Linked DNA regions of Caenorhabditis elegans. The protein of the gene in region 1 purifies or fractionates together with the protein of each later gene. This does not show direct contact. Each region holds a gene or a part of one and is shown on either strand. Other genes may lie near its edges.

Region 1 (6,093 bases):
TTTTCAACAGCATTTTTTTTGAATATCAAAACATTAGCCATGATCTTTATTTTGATAACATTTTCATTTCTCATGTACGGACGTCAAAAAAAAAAAACGTTTCCTGGAATTTCCATAGCCTGACGCTTTCTTTCAATAAAAAAAATGTTTCAAACTCTATCCAAGCTCAACTTCCGTGCTGTCAACATCTCAAACTAGCTGTCATCAAACATCATAACATTGCGTGTTTCAAATGTGCGTTTCAAATTTCTGATCTTCGAAAATGATCTCTCAGTCCGACCAGTCTGTGACCAGCACTAAGCCTGAGAGCAGTGGCGTCTCTTCTTCCGTCACAAACCTATTTGTCTCAAGCCTCAAAACAATGCAATTCTTGTCTTGATTTTTTGTTCTTGCGTTGTAACAGTTTTAGTTTCAGCCTCCACGCCAACAGAGACACAAAACAATACGTTCATTTTTTTTAGTGTAACTTTTTTTGTGTTTCAACCTCAAGATTGCTAAAAAGTAAATTTGCGGTGGGTCGAAGATGGCCGAACTCTCGTTTTACTATTTAGCTAGTCACTTTCAATTTTTTTTGTGCCTGGAACGCTTGTTCATTGATGTGTAGTTGTGTGTTTTCTATCTAAATTTACAAGTTTCATATGTATTTATTGTTATATATTTTCACTTTAGCCAATACATTTCTAGCACAAAATTGAAAAATAATCAGTAGTTCAAGAATAGATTTTTGATTTAAAAGGGGGCTTTGTGTTATGGTAATTGTTGAACATTTTATTGAAGATACTTACAATTTTAAAAATGACAATCTGTATAATTTTCATTTAATAAATTGTGAAGATTTTCGAAATTTCATTTATTTTAACACAGTGGAATTATTAACGGTTGAAACCGAGTGTGGAAAAATTGTTTAATACTACTTCTACAGTGCGAAAGTTATTATAAAACTCGGTAGGACTCTCAACATGCAAATACTATTCTATAATAAGTTCCTCAAAGAGTTCAAGTTTTTCGCATATTTGGCTATATTTGGCAATTTGGTAATTCGTCAAAAGTTGTTTCCAAAAATTTAAAACTTTAGCAGAGTTTTGAAATTATATTTCGAATTAGGTTTCATTACTTCTTTTTATAAATATTGTACATATTACTAGTCGAACGAATATATTATAACAACTCTTTCAATTTCTCACCTTTAAGATATTCTTATCAATTGTATCATGAATGAAAAAATAGTGCGAAGTGCAAGATGAAGCGTGAAAGAAAAAACTTGATATCTCACGCACGTGGGGGTTTTCTCCCTTTTCTTGCATTTTCAAATCTTGTTCTCTCCCCCTGTCAATAATTTTCTACACAAAAAAGTCTAAATTGTTTTTTTGCGGTCAGTTCTCTTGTCATTTTTTTTCACACTCACTCACTCAGTAGTTTTATTTCAAATACCCGTTTCATTGTTGACAATATGCATTGCTTTGATTCGCTCTTTGGGTTTTTTTTTGTGTTCCGCTCTATTGTGGTGTGGACAAGTAGTAGTATTTTGTATAAGAAGGATCAATTCAAAACCATTACTTGAAACGTATCAAGTTACCTTTTCTTAGTTTTTTCTAGTTTTTTTTTTGGCTATGGTGGGAAATTGGGTATCACGCGCGGGTTGATAGGATATATGGGGGGAGGGGGGAGAGGTGAATTATTTTTACACAAAAATTCAGTTCTCCTTACCTTTCTCTATATTTAACACGTTTTTTTCTGGTTCTCGGTTTTTGGTTCTAGGTTCTAGGTTCCAACTTCGAGATTTTTGTTCAAAAATGATGAGAACGCGAAAAAGAAAGAATGGGAGAGTGGAGAGATAGAAAAACCCCATTATCACTACTTTTCGACGAACATCAGTCAGGTTTAATGATATTAAATGTTTTCCTAAAGGTACTTACTCAAGTACCCTACACTTGTAACCAAGCCAATCGATACTCTTTCTTTAGTCGTCCCCCCCCCCCCCCCATCAGTCCGCGGTTTGTTTGCAAACCTAAACTATACACTGTTTTCAGTTTTTCGCCACTTTACGTTGTTTAACTATTGGGGAGTTTCCCAGCTGCCAACCACGTCCTACATATGTATCATTATCATTTGCAGCTCCGCTCATTTTAATCTTTTTTGATTATGATTATGTGCAACATTTTTCAGATTGTTTGGAAGCCTATGCTACTTCGAAGGACAATCTGTATTTTAGCGTGTATTGTACAGTTCGCAACATGCGGATATCAAAGGTCTATAGTTCATTTTGATATGAAAGGTGAATTCTGTTTATATGTCTAGATAATGTCTAAATGTCTAGATAACTATACCTAGATAACTAAATAACTATAACAACGTTTACAACTGTCCTTTTTAGGTGCTCCTCCAAAAGTCGCCTACTTCAAGCAGCTTCTCACCACAATTAGTGGGTTAGGTGCCACAGGAGTGTTACTAGAGTGGGAAGTAAGTTTATATGAAAAAGTCACACTTTGACATTAATATTTCAGGACATGTTCCCATATCAAGGAGGTCTTTCTAGAGTTGTTAATAAAAATGCTTATACCGAAGAGGAAGTGATTAGTGTATTGGAACAGTAAGTTTTGAAATCATGTATTGAAAATTTACAAATCCATGTCTTCAAAAATATCATGTTTATTAGAGTATTCTGATTATTGAAGCTTTACATTTAAAACATAAATTTCAAGTTTTGAAACTTCTGGGCCATACGCTGCTTTTTTTGAATGTTATTAACAATTGATACTCCAGTTCAAATCTATTTTTTACTGTTTACAATACTTGAACATCTGATATTTTGATAATCACTTTAAAGATAATGTTCCAGATTAAATTTCATCAAATATATCTATGTGCAATATTTTTCATTTCAGTGCACAACAGTTACAACTTGAAGTGATCCCGTTGGTTCAAACTCTTGCCCATATGGAATGGATACTGAAAACTGAAGAGTACTCAGTGCTGCGAGAAGACGAGCGTTATCCAATGGTAGCTTGTATTGGGAACCCGGAAAGTTTGGATATCATTTTAGACTCGGTTAACCAAGTAAGCCTTACACTTTCAAAATTTTAAGAACCGTAATATTATTAAGCTAATGAGAATACATTCCAACTTCAATACTGGATATGTGCATATTGGCGCAGATGAAGCGTTTCAAGTGGGAATATGTGATGCGGATCGCGAGATTTTGCCGGTCAAATATGACAACAATAAGTTGCGTATGATCTTCGACCACTTGAGAATGGTGTCGCTTAACATTACGGAAGAATATCCATCCACAAAGGTATGTCGGGGGTATTGTCAAAAGTACATCTTTGTCTCGGTCTCGTCAACCCAGTTCCGACCCCATAAACCCAGTTTTTCCAGGTGTTAATGTGGTACGACGAACTGAAAAGTGCGCCCTTAGAACTTATCAAAGAATACAACCTTGACAATCTTGTGATACCGGTCGTATGGAAATATACCGCTAACTTGGACAATGATTTACCTTCAGAGATGTGGAAAAATATGTCCTACTCGTTTAAGGAAGTATGGGGTGGCAGTGCTTTTAAAGGTAGTTGTATATAATTTGCCAACAATAATAATTATAATCTCATTTTTAATTCAGGCGCGGATGGTGCTAGTCGGTATTGGAATCGCTTGAAACCATATATACTCAACAATAAAGAATGGTATCTTCAAAATGAAAAATATAAACCACAGTTTACGACCTTTGACTCTATCATCATCACTGGTTGGCAAAGGTAATCAAATTCAGAATCAACTTTCGATTGATATACCACCGTTCAGATATGATCACTTTGCATCACTCTGTGAACTTTGGCCAACTTCAATGGTATCACTGGCATTGAACCTGATTGTTTTAACAAAGTTTCATATAGACAGTAAGAAAAGTTCAAACATCACCATTTCAATTTTATATTACAGAGGAGTCTGCCGAACAAGTAATACAGGCATTAAATTGTCCACAAACCACCACACTTGATCAGCTTGTGGCTGGGTCGGATCGGTGCCGATTTCCCGGGTATCGAGTACGGGATTCAATAAGAGATTATGTGCAGTTAAAGACATTTTTTGAAAACTCCACGTGGGTTCACAATAGGTACTATCTTAATAGCATTTCAGAATAAACGTCGATAATTCAGGGAAAACGGCTGGTTGCAATCGTCACACATGAGAATATCAGCTAGTAACCCATATTACATCGACGCAATTGGGAAGGCCTACGAAAGAACGCTGAAAAAGTTGGATACGGTTTCGAATAGTTTAAGCACTTCGTTTAGTGAAGTGTTTTACCCGGATGTGATTGAAGAATTCAAAACAGATTATTTCCAGCCGTTCTATGAGGACCTACAAAAAAGGTGAGAGTTCTGAGCATACAAAATATGTTTTTGAGTTTTAAGTTCACCTAGTTTAAAACAACATATAATTAAATTAACAACAGTTCCAAAAATTACTGTTTGATCAAAAAGCGACAGTTTCCAAGTTTTAAGGTGAAGTAGCGCCAGTGGGGAAATTGTTAAAAATCACTCCTTTGGTCCAAAAATGACCAAATATCATGATAAAACTTTAAAAATAAATTTTGAAAGTTTTTTATTTACTGTCAAAAAGTGGCAATTACTCAGTTTTTGCCATTCATAATTTTGGAAGTTGAACAAAAAAAATTGTTTTTCGACATTTTTTATGTTTTAATTTTGTTTAAACTATTTTTGTTAATTTTTATTAAACATGCGACATTTCTTGGCAATTTGCCAAAACTTTGACCGGAAATTATGAAAAATCTAAAATTTTTTAGAGAACTTTATTATGATATTCGGTTTTTTAGATCATTATAAGTGCATTCAGGCAAAATCTTCACTGACACTACTCCACCTTTAATATTTTTTTTATAGTTCATAAGGTTGATATTACTTTTTCAATCAAACGTAAAAAAACACTAAACAGGGGTTCTATACTATAATTTGAAGTGAATAATTTATGTTGTTCTAATTGATTAATCTAATTACATAACACTTCTTGTTTTTGTTACAACATTTTGGCGGCAAGATCAAAAGTGCAGCGACATAAATTGATACTTAAACTTTTGTTAACGTCACATGTTGATTCACTCAATTGACGCCGCAAAAATAAACACTCTTCAAATTCCTTTTTACTAGAGAAAGTGCCAAGACTAAAGAACTACACCGATTCAACTTTTATTGAAAATTCAATACATCATGTCCAATTAAATATTTGCAGAAAAGAGTCAGTCGACAACATTGATACAAAACGATTTTACGTGCCGCGTCCGTGGTTCCGGAGGTGAACAGTTGGTGTAATTTATTTTGCCATTTCGATGATATACGGCTTTACGTTCAATGTGTATTCTTGCCAATCTAGACGTTACTACACGGCCTGGTCCAACCCTTACTCTAACTTCTCATTTCTATGAAATTTCAAATTCCATGATTCATGTTTTCAGGATGCTTTAATTTTTTGATTGAATACAATAAAATGATTTTGGTTTTTCAAAATGATAAGAGTTGTAAGAACATTGTAAACAAAAATTCAATCATGTATTCCCACAAAGTAAATGTAACTTTTGATTGTGGTCCACTGACAGAAAATGCACTTAACTCAACGAATAAACGAGTAATAAAAAACCAAAATATTTATTAAAAAGCGATAATTCAATAAAAATTAAGCTCCAGACGCTGTGACACCGAGAAGTTTTTAAAAAATTGTGATTTTAACTGAAAATCAGCCTTTTTTTTCTAAAACTTTGAACCACCATAACTTTTTTTTGAAAAATTTTCAAAACGTGATTACAAACTTCGGTAGTTTTGGGTCATTTTGGGTCTAAAAAAACAAAGGTCTCAAATTTCGGTACTCCACCTTTAAGCAAAAAAAAAATTAATTGAAGATAGTTCATGTGTAGTTCTAATTTTAGGATGTTTTGCCAACCTGGGAAAAACTACTAGGAGTATGCTCAACAAGTATTATTTTTGATCGTGTTGGATTGGAAAAAGTTTCAGATTCTTGACAAAAAGATGAAAAATTTTCAAAAGCTTGCAGAATATTTGCTAACCGTTATGAAATCAT
Region 2 (5,025 bases), on another chromosome or scaffold:
AATCTTAGAAATTTCGAGAGTCTTCTTAAAAGTTTTTAGAAACTTTAATTTTTTATTTCAATTTGCTGAGAAACAAACTAATTCAACTTTTCGTGTTTCCAGACTGTTAACTAGGAGAAAATGATTTCAATTCTTGGTCGATGTACATACTTGATCGGTGTTCCCGTGTTCACTTTGAATTTCAGGGGGTGGCCCCGAGAACAAAGATGAATAAGAGGAGCGAAAATCTCAAAAAGAAACAGACACACACACATTTACGCACACACATACAAATACTGTGTGAGAGATATAGATGGGGGAGAAATTGGGCAAATATTACTATTAGAAAAACGAGAAAAATTCGAAGAAAAGGCGAGCGGAGGATGCGCAGAAGTATCCGAGTGTGGGATGGGGGAGCAAAGACATGGCACAAAAAAGTCGAGAGATTCGGTGAAACTTCCTTCACCAATGCCACTTGGTCTCTCATCATTATTACAACACATTTTTGGAGAGAATGGATATGAAAGTTAGGTTAAGCTACAAAAAAAACGTTATTTGCAACAGTTAAAAAAACAGGTTTCTCAAACAATCTATAACTAATAATCTGAAAAGTTAATTCCTAGCTGGGAGACTAATATCTGATCAGCACATAATATGTCCAGAGAGATCTTCGCAGCAGTGATATTGTGGCACACATCCCCAACGAAGTCGGCCACAATGTGCCAAACGCGCCTCGCAGTGAGTGCATTGCGGATGCTCGTTTTCGTGAAACACATATCGTACCGGTCCTCAATCGAAATGAGTATGCGCACATCGCGAATGAACTATGCGAATACAAAATAGTGATTTTTAAATGAAAACGTTAAGGTTGAATATCATGGTTTGACAAAAAAAATAAATACTTATAAAATTGCTTGAGGTATTAAGGTACACTATATTGAATATTATTTGGCAGCACAGTTTCTATATAACATTTTCTCATGTTAAATTTTTTGATGGATTTCTGAATTTTAATGTAGACAAATGTTTTCAACGACAAAGCATCCAACTTTGAATGTACTTCAAAGAACACGATGGAAGCAAAAATATTTTTTTAAACTCAAAACGTCGCTTTTTTTAAAATTTTTCTAAATAATTGTGTCCAAATCCGATTTAGATCTATTATTATTATTCGGATTTCTTACACAGTATTCATTAATGTTCTAATAGTGTTGTTTCTAATAATAAAATAAGACCAGTTTGCTGGTCCAGGTTACTGAAATCACTGATTCCAATTTTTTATACAAATATAAGTAAACTAAGAATGAATCCCTTAATTTTTTTTCTACATTTTTTTATCTACTCCCACAAGTTCCAAGCGCTTACTCTCAAAAATCTCTTACGTATGTCTCTATCCAATAATAATGTGTGCTCAAAAAAGCGCGGGCTCATTCCGAAAGAACCCCCTCCTCTGATTTTTTCAACAAGTTCTACAGTAATCTCTTCGTTTCTCAATTTAACATACTCTTTCGATGAACCTGAAAGATAAAGTACTTGGACTGGCGACGCAAAAGCTCAAAACGTATGGACAATGCACATCCAAGAGACGTTTGATGCTCTCGGCAACAGTTCATTGTGTGGATATCGGAGAGCCCCCTTTCTTGCGCACGGGCGCTAAGCAAGAGAGGAAGATGAGGGGGAGTTTGAGTTGCTCCGCCCTATGAAGTGTGCCGAGTGAAGCTCTCTCTTGTGTGTGCCAAACTATTATCCGTCCCTGCAGAGCACAGTAGTGTGGAGCTGTGTGCAGTGCAGCAGTAGGAAGAAAAAGAAGAAGTCACCCACCTGTTTAGCCTCATTTTTCAATTAGCCGTTCGTTTTAATTTCCACTGAAACAAATCAAGAATGTCGCTCGAACACGAGAAGGACCCAGGATGGCAGTACCTGAAAAGGTCGAGAGAGCAACAGCTCGCGGTAAGATTTTACTTCTTTCATTTTACTTTCTACTTTTTCCTAGGTTTACATTCGACGTATTTTTTCTCCTCATAAATCCTAATCTTCTCAAATTCCAAAATATTCGAAATTTATCTGAAGTCGCTGCTTTTTATACACTTCTAATAACGAATTGTTCCTTCAGTTTTGAACCTAATAAAATACCGTATTTTCCCAATTTGTCCTTCTCTCGACAAATAATATTTCATCTATTTTGAGTATAGAAACAATTCAATTTAATTTTCCAACTAGAACAAGATTCAATCTTTATTTTACTTGTTGAATATGTTCTGATAAACTTTAAAATGAAACTTTTTCAATTACAATAGAGTTATTTTAAAGTGGTTAAGTGAGCATTTTTACAGCAAAATATTAAAAATTGTTTCTTGGCTACTTTTTTAAACATATTTTCAAGGTTCAATCTCTTAAAATTCTTACCGGTTTTTCGGTAGATCGTTATTTTTAAAGCTTCTAAACTTCACCGTTTTGATATTTAGGATAATAATTATTTTATAACTATGTATGAATATAAATTAATTTTTATATTTTTTTTATTTTACAGGATCAATCCCGCCCATACGATTCGAAGAAGAACGTCTGGATTCCAGATGCCGAAGAAGGATACATTGAGGGAGTTATTAAGGGTCCAGGACCAAAGGCCGATACTGTTATCGTTACCGCCGGAGGCAAAGATGTAACTTTGAAGAAGGATATCGTTCAAGAAGTCAATCCACCAAAGTTCGAGAAAACCGAAGACATGTCCAACTTGACTTTCCTTAATGACGCCTCCGTTCTGTGGAATTTGCGTTCCCGTTACGCTGCTATGCTTATCTATGTAAGTTTTTTCAGTTTCAAAAAACTTCAAATAGAAACACGGAAAAAAGATCTGCGAAAATGCGTAGTTGGATAGGCAAATAGTGCGCCCACGCAAAAGTGGCAAAATGCTATCTTAAGTGGATCGAGACAGACGATGAGAAACAAAGAGAGTCATGCTCAATGTGCACAGTGAGTAAAGAGAAAATTTATATTGGAATTTTGGACTGAAATTGGAATGGTACTAAAAATATGTGATTCAACAAAGGCAGTATTGAGAATATAAAAATATCGTTCCAAAAAATAACTAAATTTGAATACTACTGAAATTTAAAGAAGTAAGTTCTATAAAAATGGGATATTGACTGAAACAAAATGTTCCAATTTGCCCATTTTCAGACCTACTCTGGACTTTTCTGCGTTGTCATCAACCCATACAAACGTCTCCCAATTTACACTGACTCTGTTGCTCGTATGTTCATGGGCAAGCGTCGTACCGAGATGCCACCTCATTTGTTCGCTGTCTCTGATCAAGCCTACCGTTACATGCTTCAAGACCATGAGAATCAGTCTATGCTTATTACCGGAGAATCTGGAGCCGGAAAGACTGAAAACACAAAGAAGGTTATTTGCTACTTTGCCACCGTCGGAGCTTCACAAAAGGCTGCTTTGAAGGAGGGAGAGAAGGAAGTTACCCTTGAAGACCAGATCGTTCAAACCAATCCAGTATTGGAAGCTTTCGGTACAGACATAAATTAAAAAATTAACACTTGTCTGATAATTTGGTTGTTTAGGTAACGCCAAGACTGTCCGTAACAACAATTCTTCCCGTTTCGGAAAGTTCATCCGTATTCACTTCAACAAGCACGGAACTCTTGCTTCCTGCGATATTGAACACTGTAAGTTGATAATAATGATAAGAAGTTATTACGAAAATCGTAAATTGTTCAGATCTTCTCGAGAAATCTCGTGTCATCCGTCAAGCTCCAGGAGAGCGTTGTTACCATATCTTCTACCAAATCTACTCAGATTTTAAGCCACAACTCCGTGACGAGCTTCTTCTCAACCATCCAATTTCCAACTATTGGTTTGTTGCTCAAGCTGAGTTGCTCATTGATGGTATGTTTTGTATTTCTGGAGAATGAGATTAACTTGTTTTATTCCAGGAATCGATGACACTGAGGAGTTCCAATTGACCGACGAGGCCTTTGATGTTCTCAAATTCTCGCCCACCGAGAAGATGGATTGTTATAGACTCATGTCGGCTCACATGCACATGGGTAACATGAAATTCAAGCAACGCCCACGTGAGGAGCAAGCCGAGCCAGATGGCCAAGATGAAGCTGAGAGAGCTTGTAACATGTACGGAATTGATGTCGATCAATTCCTTAAGGCTTTGGTGTCTCCAAGAGTCAAGGTCGGAACCGAATGGGTATCCAAGGGACAGAACGTTGATCAAGTTCACTGGGCTATTGGAGCCATGGCTAAGGGGTTATACGCTCGTGTCTTCCACTGGCTTGTCAAGAAATGTAATCTTACTCTTGATCAAAAGGGAATTGATCGTGATTATTTCATCGGAGTACTCGATATTGCTGGATTCGAAATCTTCGACTTCAATTCCTTCGAACAGCTCTGGATTAACTTCGTCAACGAAAAACTCCAACAATTCTTCAACCATCACATGTTCGTTCTTGAGCAGGAAGAGTACGCCCGTGAAGGAATCCAATGGACATTCATTGATTTCGGACTTGATCTCCAAGCTTGTATCGAGCTTATTGAGAAGCCACTCGGTATCATCTCTATGCTTGATGAGGAGTGTATTGTTCCAAAGGCTACTGACATGACTCTTGCCCAGAAGCTTACCGATCAACATCTTGGAAAGCATCCAAACTTCGAAAAGCCAAAACCACCAAAGGGAAAGCAAGGAGAGGCTCACTTCGCCATGCGGCATTACGCCGGAACTGTCCGTTACAACGTGTTGAACTGGCTCGAGAAGAACAAGGATCCTCTCAACGACACCGTTGTCTCCGTCATGAAGGCTTCGAAGAAGAACGACCTTCTTGTCGAAATCTGGCAAGATTACACCACCCAAGAAGAAGCTGCTGCCGCCGCTAAGGCCGGAGGTGGTCGCAAGGGAGGAAAGTCTGGATCTTTCATGACTGTATCCATGATGTACAGAGAATCTCTCAACAAGCTCATGACTATGCTTCACAAGACTCATCCACATTTCATCCGTTGTATCATTCCTAACGAGAAGAAACAATC

The links.
Region 2: the proteins of hex-5 (region 1) and myo-1 fractionate together in Caenorhabditis elegans (co-fractionation; one large-scale study listed by BioGRID). This does not show direct contact.

What each region holds. Positions count from the first base shown.
Region 1 is NC_003284.9:14,901,317-14,907,409, reverse strand, and holds hex-5 (beta-N-acetylhexosaminidase), read left to right. Parts: upstream 1-2,148; 5' UTR 2,149-2,181; coding exon 2,182-2,275; intron 2,276-2,374; coding exon 2,375-2,460; intron 2,461-2,504; coding exon 2,505-2,590; intron 2,591-2,885; coding exon 2,886-3,057; intron 3,058-3,103; coding exon 3,104-3,295; intron 3,296-3,378; coding exon 3,379-3,565; intron 3,566-3,619; coding exon 3,620-3,755; intron 3,756-3,801; coding exon 3,802-3,896; intron 3,897-3,939; coding exon 3,940-4,114; intron 4,115-4,157; coding exon 4,158-4,373; intron 4,374-5,250; coding exon 5,251-5,317; 3' UTR 5,318-5,529; downstream 5,530-6,093.
Region 2 is NC_003279.8:7,263,771-7,268,795, reverse strand, and holds the start of myo-1 (Myosin-1), read left to right. Parts: upstream 1-1,738; 5' UTR 1,739-1,860; coding exon 1,861-1,929; intron 1,930-2,509; coding exon 2,510-2,782; intron 2,783-3,159; coding exon 3,160-3,502; intron 3,503-3,554; coding exon 3,555-3,659; intron 3,660-3,711; coding exon 3,712-3,879; intron 3,880-3,926; coding exon 3,927-5,025. UniProt on the Caenorhabditis elegans protein: Muscle contraction.